Nothobranchius furzeri: one gene and its partners. The main gene of each other region encodes a partner of the protein of the gene in region 2 in a complex. Links are inferred from orthologs where the notes say so. Each region holds a gene or a part of one and is shown on either strand. Other genes may lie near its edges.

Region 1 (3,760 bases), on a different chromosome or scaffold from region 2:
CGTTTGTGGGCTACAAATCCACAGGTTTGTGAGTTAATCTAGACTATTTAAAAATCACTTTTCCTTGAGTTTTTATGACTTCAGGTAAAAATAAAACTAGTTTGTCAAGATTTGATACATTTTTAAGGAGATACCCATGAGCAAGCCAAGTTGTGAGTAAGTATGGTTGAAATAAATTTCTAGTTAAAAACCCATTTACTTTCAGTTGTAGGGCTGAGATTTTTTAAATGTGGATATAATTTCAAACAAGAAACCTGATGACTCAATATCTTTACATCAATATAAATATAAAAACAGTGAATTTCTAGCATTAGCAGGTGCAGCTATTGCTATCCACTAGCTTGTTCTGTCTCTATGCGATCATTACATGTATTCTCACGTGTCTGCTCGATCAGGAAACCTCTAGGTCAATTTTCTGCCCTAAACTTTGCATTTGGATTAGTGGTTTTTAATTATTTGGGGACATTTGTTCGTGTTTTAGTGAGCCTTTTCACTACGGATGTGTATTGGTGAAATTGTGGCGATACGATACGTATCACGATACAGGGAAGACGATACGATATATCACGATATATTGCGATACATTCAGCCAGACGATATCAGCGATTTTTTAGACTGAATTTATTGTAGAAAATTTCAATAAACAGTCCAAACTGATACTTAACATGTTAAACATGAGGTATCTGAACCATAATAGAGGGATTTATATTTCAGTGGTGGAAACAAAACCCAATGCACACTGCTGCTAGCTAGCGGTCAGTGTTTGAATTGCACCAAAAGAAAAGAAAATACACAAATGTTTGCATGTAAACTATTCCAAAAAGTTCAACACATGGCTTTTGGATATCAATATAATATTGCAGGAAAAAACATCACGATATATTGCCATATCGATATTGTCTTACATCGCTACTTTTCACCGTGGCTGCTGACGGAGATTTATTTATCCTGCTGGTGCTGAGAGACGGGTCAAACCAGCGGCATAAATATCTAAACCTACATGTGTGTTAGCATACAGCTGTACAAGTGTTTCTACAGCTCAAACTGATAGAGAATGGCACTTAGGTTGATGTTTGACAAGAATCTGATTAAATTGTGCATTTAATCTGCTGATGAATTTATGATTACACTTTCTGTAGACAGCTTGAAGGGAGTTAACTTGCAAATATTTACAGAAGAAAAAATATGGAGGTATAATATTGTAAAATTGGAATTCTGCAAAAGGACACTGACAAATAAGTTTTCATCCAGCCCTATTAAGTTGTATTTTTATTTTCTGAGGACTAGAGGTAAGGCTTTAGTACTCGACCTGAAAACAAAACAAAAATCTGTCGCATCTTTGGTTTAAGTGAATAATCACACCTTTTTACCAATTAGAGGGCTGAGTTTGTGTTTGTTAACCCTGCTGTGAATGTGGAAAACACTCGTAGTGAGATTAGCCTCAGATTTCTACAGACATCTGAAGCAACGTGACCTTAGGACCGATGTGTCTCAAGTATGCTACTTACCATGTGTGGATATTTCTCTGGATCCGTCACACTGATGTCTGTCAACTTTATGTTCAGGTACTAAAAACCAAAAAGAGTAGGAATGTAAATGTCAAAAAACTGCAGAAGTTTGTCTGAAAGAGTTTCAAAAAGTGTATTTTCAATACCTGGTCAACAGAATGAAGCGTTCCGCAGATGCTGAAAACAGATGTGTGGATAAATATTCAAGAAAACAAACATTTGGACACTTTTGAATAGGCTACATGGCTCGTTTAGCTCGGTTGCCTTAATTTCCGAGTCAGACTCGTGTAGAAACGTCGCAGTACTAATAAGCTACAAGTCCATTGGAATATACAAAGAAATAGCTCAAGCTTTAGCAGAAGTTCATTCAAAGCTTCGCGTTTAGAGACCACTTGTTTCCAACGTGGTGCTACAGTGGGTCGAATTGCTAGCGTTCTTTCCTGCAAATGAACAACAGCTTCAACGATTTATCACAGCAGTGGAGGCCAAGCCGTAAAACACTAACCTCAGATCGTTCTTGAGCTCCACCACTACGTCCTTCCCAACCAGAGACTTGAAAAACGAGTAGAAAAGCTGCGGAGCACAACGACATGCTAACGTTAGCGTGTAGCTGCACGCTACACGTCGAGCACGACAGTTTATGAACAAAGAGAGAATGGAAACACTAACAGTTACACAAAGACTAAGGTAACGACTTATTTAACTGTCATGTGTTTGGTGTCATGCTAAATACATTTTGAATATTGAACGAGGTTAGCTCACCATTTTTGCGGTAGCTTTGTTCAGTAGTCGCGTCCGCTTTTGATGACGTATCAGGGAGCGCTGCAAATACAGACAACTACCACCAGGGGGAGCCAGAGGTCTTCAACATATTCAGCTTGAATCGTATCCATTTCTTTGACATGTTTTGCTCATAATTAATCAACATTGTGTTTTTTTACACACTTAAGTGTGATTACAGCATCTAATTTGCCTCTGAAAAATTAAATCTGCCTTAATATCACTTTGCGTAACAAACCCTAATAGTCCACGTCCCTACACACACACACACACACACACACACACACACAGAGAGAGAGAGAGAGAGAGAGAGAGAGATATGTTAAAATAAAGAAAATCTCACTCTGAGACTTTTAAAGAAGTCGGCAGCCCTGGTAAATAGGATAAACCTATGTGTGCCTTACCTACGTATGAAATATATGTAAATGGCCCTATTTTGCCCAGCTGTGTGCAGCAGGTATGTTTTTCTTCTAGAATAATGAAAACTGGTGAAAAATAGGTCTAAATCCTAATCAGCGTTGATTTAAATTGTGATTAGATGACACACATTTAAACAGATGATGACAGATGTGCTCAAACTTGTAAACAGCCTTAACCCATTAAAGCAAGGACATAAGATAGTCTAATAATTAGGTGATAAGATAAACCCAGCAGAGAAAAGAAGTCAGTCTAACAGTGGGATAAAATGCAACAAGATTTATGACAAGCTCACATTTGGCGTTTGTCTGCTTCTTTTATTAAAATAAATAAATGAATAAAAAACGGAAACTGGTATGGTGCAAAACAGGACAGAATGGTTGGTATAGAGATGAGTTCCCTTGTTTTATCTATTTGTTTCTACTTCAATGTTTTACCCCCTTTGCACTATTTTAATTGCTTTTATTTTCTATTTATTCATTGTGATTTATGTTTCTTATGTACTGTGTACAGCACCTTGGGCTCCCTGACAAGGTCGCGGAAGGCACTTTATAAACAAAGCTTTGAGTTGAATTGAATTCACATTTTCTTCAAAAAACTCAAGGTCCGGCTGTAAACATAAAAACTCTGCAGCAAGGGAAGACGGTTTCCTCTTATATGAAAAAGCCAGTCGTAGGAGAATTGATCCCTGGTGGGTACCACATAATTCAGTCGGTGCCTTAAAAAGTACCACATCTGGAATCCATCCCTACTCCTTATACTGGTCACCCTGGTGTGGGAAGGCTTCCAGTCTCAAACCAGTCATCCATGCTGATTGCCTTGGTCCCTCAGGTTCAAGCAGGTATAGTCCCATCAGTGTCTCTGCTCTCCAGTCCCATCTGTCGGTGGTCTCTGATGAACTGGTTTTGGCCCAGACTGTGTGCAGAATCTCACCATGATCTTTCTAGAGGAGTTCACTGGTTCTCAAAATTTCTGCTAGCGCTTTGAAACCTATTTTTTATTTAAAATAAGGTCAAACCAGGGCTGAAAGTTTAACGATTAAATATGTTTTATTT
Region 2 (2,793 bases):
GAAGTTTTACAATGATCCAATGAGGCAAAGGTGCAGTCAAGAGCTCTAACTCCCTCTAGTGGAAGATTCCAGGTATGTCATTAAAATGGTATGATTTCCAACATTATGCACAGATTCGTTTTATTTAAAATACTTAACATTTTAAAAAGCCTGTCTACTATCTTATTTTGCATAACCATAATTAAATAAGATCATATATTCATTATATTTATAAACTTATAGCCATATTTTTTAGCCAGTCATTAAAAGCCTTCTAGAATTAAGAGTATTAACAACAGAAAAGCAGGATTTTAAGTTTTACACTCATAAATCTATCAGTCTTATACTTAATGATGTGGTGGAACAGCTTGTACTCATGATAAACATGTTTATTTTATAGGCCTTAGAAGTACTAGATAGACTGGCTCTGTCCAGGGTGAACCCCGCCTGGTTGCCCAGTGACAGCTGGAGATAGGCACCAGCCCCCCGCGACCCTACATGGACAAGCAGGTTCAGAATATATATATATATATATATATATATATATATATATATAAAATAAATTAAAACACTACATTTAAATCTTAAGTAAAAGTTTTTTATTAAAACAGTTACAAGTTGTACAATATTACCGATGTGTTCCACACTGACATATTTCACAGAAATAAGCCTTAAAAAACACAAAACTTAATATTTATGAAGCTACGTTTGCAAAAACAAAAAGTGACATTAAACCCACCATTATCAACAATGTCCTGTTTTACTACCAAAGGTAAACACGCTGAAGAATATTCCTGAACCTTTTGTGTTTTTTGTCTCTTCATTTTGTCAAATGAAAAAATAATAAACTGAACAAAGGAGGATGAAAAAAAATCAGTATCTGTATTTTGTAGAGTAATCCTTGGGAGACACCACCAAACCTCTTCCTTTCCTTGCTCCTCGATACACAGTTTCAACAATATCTATCATCTCCTGTTTGTCCTCGATTATCCAGTTGATCTTGTTATTGTTACCGGTGCCCAAATCAATCATGATGTGTTTGTTCCTGGAAGAGAAAGACAAAAATATCACCTTAAAATATGTTTACTCAGCTGCCCTGTCTATTGCAACATGTGGAACTGGAAGAGCTACCTGAAAAAGAACATGACAGTGCAGGGGTCGTACAACTCGTACATCTTATTGAAATCAGGCACTTCTGTGATGTCCACGAGGTAAATGACAGCAAAGTTCTTCACCTGTAAATAAACAAACCAAGAATGAATTAAACATGGCATTTGGAGCACGCCAGCAGGTAATGTGACGCGACTCCTGAATCTGAGCCAACCGGACTTTATATAATAAAGACAGGAAACAAATCAAACCTTTTCAGCGATGCTGTAAAGAACCTCGTCCATCTTCATACATGTTGGGTCCCAGTCGTGTCCGAAGCGGATGACGAGGACTCGGTCCTCCTCAGACAGGATGGCTTGGTCGACCTGCCATCCATTGTGGAGATGCGGTAACATGTACGACATCTTGACTCAAAAATGAGCAAATTCTAACCTGAAATGGATCAAATAAAGAGTTCAAATCGATCACAGCTGAACATTAAATTAAACAAACATCTCTGAGTACCAGAGAACGGTTTGACCGGCAACAGCTAGCTAGCTAGTTAGCGTTAACCATGGATACAATCTGAAAGACACAATTATGAAACTTCCCACTAAATATTCTGAAACACTTACCCCAAAATATAAAATAGAGTATTTAAGTGGCGGGAAGAAAACGGACTAACTATAGATAAAGCAGCTATGTTCAATGTGACTTCTTTTAAACCCCACGGAAAACAAACGCTTCACGACGTCATCAAATCAGCGACGCAGGAGACGCGTTAAATTTACGTCATAGTCGCTCAATTCGAAAAACTCTTTTAAAAAGTCCCAATTTATTTATTTATTATTTTTTAATGTGAAAGCCGCACACAAAAAATAAAAATTTTAAATAATTAATTATTTGAAATAATTACTTTTCACTCCAGCAAGTACTTTTAAAATAAATATATTTACGTTATGTTTTCCAGCAATATCTTTTTGGATGATCATCTTTTTGGATGATCAACTAGAGAAATACTTCTAGTATTAAATGTATTTCGTATTCATGCATGGAGAACAAACAGATTTTCAAACAGCTCAATAACAAACAGAAATTATGTTTACAGTCTAGATAACATAATTAGAAATTTGCAACATGAATACATTTTTTAGGAAATCTCGGAGCACTCTTTATTTGTAAAGCTTGTTTGCCACACTTCAATTAAAACGTGCACGTGTTGTTTGTGTACTTTACAAAAAAAACTGTTAATATTTGATGCTGTGAAGTATTTCTGATTCTTAACAAGTTCACAAATTTAGAACAATGTGTATATTTGGCACACTTGCTGTAAAATGGATACAGCTTGAAAAATGATTAGTTTGGAGTTTTACTCTGCGTTCAAACTCAAATTCTTCCACAAAAAGAGATTCCAAAGAAAAATTTGTAAAAACCCAACCCTAACTCATCATGCAATGTCAAATACTACGTGTCGTACTTGATTTTTTGCAGGCTTCCTAACACACTTTGTAAATAATAAAATGTAAACCCTTTTCAAGCACTTTAAGATGGAGTTTTTAAATATTTTCCAGCACGTTACACCGGTGTTGCACAGAGACCGTTTATACTTGTTCACAACAATCACGTCACTTTGCTGTCTCATTAAAGGAAACGTCTGCACCATAAAGTCAGTTTCAGTTGTTTTCAAGGACTTATTTAAATGCTGAAGCACTTTTAAAACTTGAA
Region 3 (3,684 bases), on a different chromosome or scaffold from region 2:
GCATTTCACAGCATTTCGTACTGTGTATGAATTTATGTGACAAATAAAATTTGAATTTGATTTGAGTTAAAAGGTTAGTCTCCAACTGAATTTTGAGCACATTAGTTAAAATGATCTCCAACACTCATCTGAGTCAGATGAAAATTTGAAACATCTTCAGACATCTCCAGGTAGTTACTTTCCATTAGAATCTTATAGGGGGGGTGCAATTAATCGATGTGGCGATGCATCTAACAGCTAAACATGTTGTTTCGACATCGATTAATGAACGTCAATGCTTAAAAAAACATAACATCAAAGTTTTATTGCAACGCCGGTACTAAAAAAAAATAAAAACACGTAACCGGAGCCTTAACGCACGCGCCGCCCGGACTGTTTAGTGAGTGGCACTACCTCTTTGACCTCTTTCTCCATCCTGGAGACTGTCTCCAAACTACCGAAGAGCTCAGAGAAGGCGAGGAGCATTACAAAAGCAATAGCTACTTTTATCGCGACGGATCTACGCCCATATTCAGTAGTAAACAACAGGGGGTTTCAGTTAGTGGTGCGCACCATGGAGCCGCGCTAGAAACTTCCTCACCGAAAACACTTCGCAGAAAAGGAAGTCCCCCACCTCTACGAGGAAACCAAAGCTGGAGTCCATGAAGAAGGCAACCGGGATAGCGCTCACATGCGATGCATGGACATCGGTTGCCACCAAATCCTTCGTTACTGTAACGGCGCATTTTGTTCTCGCGCCGGACAAGAACGGGTGGAAGTTGGTGAGCCACGTTCTTCAAACTCGAGAGATGAGTGAGGGTCAAAGTAGCACAATGTTGACATTTACCCATCTCACACAACTGGAGGATGTAGGGGACAAGAAGGAGGGGAGGGAGTATGGGAAGACAGCTAAGATTAAGATGAGTATGAGTGTCACTCTGCTCTATTTTGTTGTGTTCGCCTCACAGTACTGAAGCTCCAAGCTGAATACAGGTTCAGTTGAATTATGCACTTTTGTTCAGAAAAAATGCAACATATTACCTTCAAATATAGCAGGTTTTTTTCTGTTACCTATATTCCAGACTGAATAAGCTGAATTATTTTATTTTGAGGAATGCACTTTTGATCTGTATGGCAGCTTTTTTTGTAATGTTATCATATGCCAGACTCATTAAGTTTCCATTAAATAAATTCAGTGGAAGTAAAAATCTTGTTTACTTGAATTAATTACCTCATTAAATCCAGGGCTTGCCTGTTTTCAGTGTTTCCCAACAATGGAGGAGACACTAGTGTAAGTAAAGCTTTCCCTGACCAAAGTTAAGTTTGTCAAAGTGCAAATATTTACACGTCATACAGTCATAAAATAAGAATTTGTCTTTGAAAAATAGTTAAATGTTAAAAAAATGTATTTACTTACAGAGAGCAGTTGTAGAGGAACTGAATTAATTGATAGGTTATTTATTTACAAATGTAGATAAAATAGAAGACAATCTTGTATGAAAAAACATTAAAAATGTCAATAATCGAAGAATCGTGGCTCCAGTAATCGAATCGAACCAAAAATCATTATAATCGAAGAATCGAAGCATCGAAGCTCCAATAATCGAAATTGAATCGAATCGTGAAGTACCCTTTTTGGAACATCCCAAGAGTCTTAGCACTGAAATGTCCTGGATGACTGAGAATCTACATCTACATGCTTAAAACTTTTAAAACTTTTCTCCAGTTTGCAGTCTCTGTTAAACAGGAAATGTTTAGGCTTTGTAACCATAGACACTTGTGGCATAATAAGATCAACAAAACAATACTATGACTCACCGTGATGTCTTCTAATGACGAGTCAATGATCTCATAGTTATCTGGCAGACAGTAAAACTTGAGTGTGTGCAGGTTGAGGAACACATGATGGCTAAACTGGACACTGTGAGTGTATGCATGAGACTTCTGACCTCTGCCTGCAAGAAAAAAACAACACCAGTGTGTCAAAGTACTAGCCTAGTGAACTAGACCAAATTCTTGCTTTGCAAAGTTTTATTTAGTGTGGCTTGCCAGGCTATCAAAGTGCACGAGCATGTTTAATCATGTAGGATTGAAGGTTGGATAGCTTTACCTACCTTGAAAATATTTCCCACAGATGAGGCAAGCATAAACATTAATGTGGGAGAGCGAGATGGAGCAGAGCTTTTCAAAATCAAAATCAAGCACACTCCTGGGAAATTAGCATAGACAGGTTAATGGTTGTCAAATGTGCTAATTAGCAAGCAATGCTAATATCAGTTGCTGATATGTTTCTCTTTCTTGCCTGTTTATGGTGTCAAGGTAAGGGCAGTGGCGACTTCTTCTGTCTTCTACTGCATGTCCTCGGCCCCTTTTGATTACAACTGCAAAAATATGATAATTGTAACTAACAAGACAAACTAAAATGCTACATAACAATGTACAAGCTAATAGGCTAAACATGCTAACACGATAGCTGTGCTGTTACAGAATGTTTTTTAATTAAGCAAAGTGTTATTCTATGCATTAGTTACTGAGGATGTCTAATGACCATTCAGGAAGTGACTGTACAAAGTTGTGCATAAAATCAAATTCTTTTAGTTAGCTTCTTAGCATCCGGCTAACGTTACACTGACGTTAGAGATAAACATACTTACCTCCGTCTTCGTTATCATCGTCGTCCAGCTCAATTTCCCTCTCTCGTTTTAGGGAAATCATATCTGTTATCCTGCGAGCCTGGTATCAAAACAACATAGGAATAAACTAACTTATTTAGAAGATTTTTTAGATGAATGGTGACTGACCACGTCGAAACTCGCGGTGGTTGTACGCTGAACAAAAAAAACAAAACCTATTCCGGTGTTAAGAAAAATATTCTACCAGAAATTTAACTTTGTTTTTTTTTAGCGCAGGAAACTGTTAATTTACAACATGTGTTTGTTTTATTTGTACACAAATACTTGAATTGTTATTGTACTTTTTAATTTAAGATGTTAAATGTGATCGTTCCTGCAGCGTTAACTCCGGAAGTGATTTATTGGACAACTATTTACAGCTAGCTAGGTGCTATTTAGCTTTTGTCTGAGGTCTGATTAGGACCTCTTATAATGATTTAACCAATTGGTAATTTATTGCTTTACAACCATTTAATGACATGGATATTTTAAGAGATGATGGAGGGCATGAGCTAAAATACAAACCAGGTGGGCGTTTGGATATGAGCCATGGCTTCTTGCACCATATCCGCAGGAACCAGATTGCTAGGTAGGTAATTTCCTCAATTTCTCTCTGTTAATGCTAGTTGAAAATGAGACACTAGGTTAATATCAGCCTAAAACCTCAAAGGCGATATTCTTTTAATCAAACGTTACGTTGATTTGGGGATGCTGAAAAGGTCGTAGCTGATGACATAAACGCGTTTAGCCGCTAAAAACAATTTATAAGTTTGCAGGCCTAGCCAAATTATTGCAGGTTTTAGCAGAATATGCATGAAACTTATTGTTTTAAATAACTATTTACTTTGTTTTGAATTGCAAAATACATACAGCATTACACTTTTAAGTTTATGATCAAATGACTGGAAGTATGGAAACAACTAAACCTAAAGTCGTGTAACTGAAATTTGTATGATCAAACTGTCACTTGTCTTTTTTCAGAGATGATTATGACAAGGAAGTGAAGCAAGCCAAAAAGCTAAAGAAGCAAAGA

What was found. Proteins that work in one complex are often made in the same cells at the same time.
Region 1: txnl4a (region 2) and smx5 share a complex: the UniProt entries of both Homo sapiens proteins name them as parts of the precatalytic spliceosome. The link is inferred for Nothobranchius furzeri from reciprocal best matches to the Homo sapiens genes TXNL4A and LSM2.
Region 3: txnl4a (region 2) and usp39 share a complex: the UniProt entries of both Homo sapiens proteins name them as parts of the U4/U6-U5 tri-snRNP complex. The link is inferred for Nothobranchius furzeri from reciprocal best matches to the Homo sapiens genes TXNL4A and USP39.

The regions. Positions count from the first base shown.
Region 1 is NC_091756.1:60,995,362-60,999,121, reverse strand, and holds the start of smx5 (smx5), read right to left. Parts: upstream 2,351-3,760; 5' UTR 2,274-2,350; coding exon 2,271-2,273; intron 2,082-2,270; coding exon 2,014-2,081; intron 1,686-2,013; coding exon 1,655-1,685; intron 1,569-1,654; coding exon 1,509-1,568; intron 1-1,508. UniProt on the Homo sapiens protein: Plays a role in pre-mRNA splicing as component of the U4/U6-U5 tri-snRNP complex that is involved in spliceosome assembly, and as component of the precatalytic spliceosome (spliceosome B complex).
Region 2 is NC_091751.1:22,095,253-22,098,045, reverse strand, and holds txnl4a (thioredoxin-like protein 4A), read right to left. Parts: upstream 1,849-2,793; 5' UTR 1,704-1,848; intron 1,522-1,703; 5' UTR 1,494-1,521; coding exon 1,341-1,493; intron 1,215-1,340; coding exon 1,111-1,214; intron 1,025-1,110; coding exon 853-1,024; 3' UTR 564-852; downstream 1-563. UniProt on the Homo sapiens protein: Plays a role in pre-mRNA splicing as component of the U5 snRNP and U4/U6-U5 tri-snRNP complexes that are involved in spliceosome assembly, and as component of the precatalytic spliceosome (spliceosome B complex).
Region 3 is NC_091757.1:46,437,206-46,440,889, forward strand, and holds the start of usp39 (ubiquitin carboxyl-terminal hydrolase 39), read right to left. Parts: upstream 2,824-3,684; 5' UTR 2,695-2,823; coding exon 2,634-2,694; intron 2,361-2,633; coding exon 2,282-2,360; intron 2,189-2,281; coding exon 2,094-2,188; intron 1,935-2,093; coding exon 1,798-1,934; intron 1-1,797. Other genes in the region: c17h2orf68 (UPF0561 protein C2orf68 homolog), read left to right, coding at 3,131-3,240, 3,633-3,684.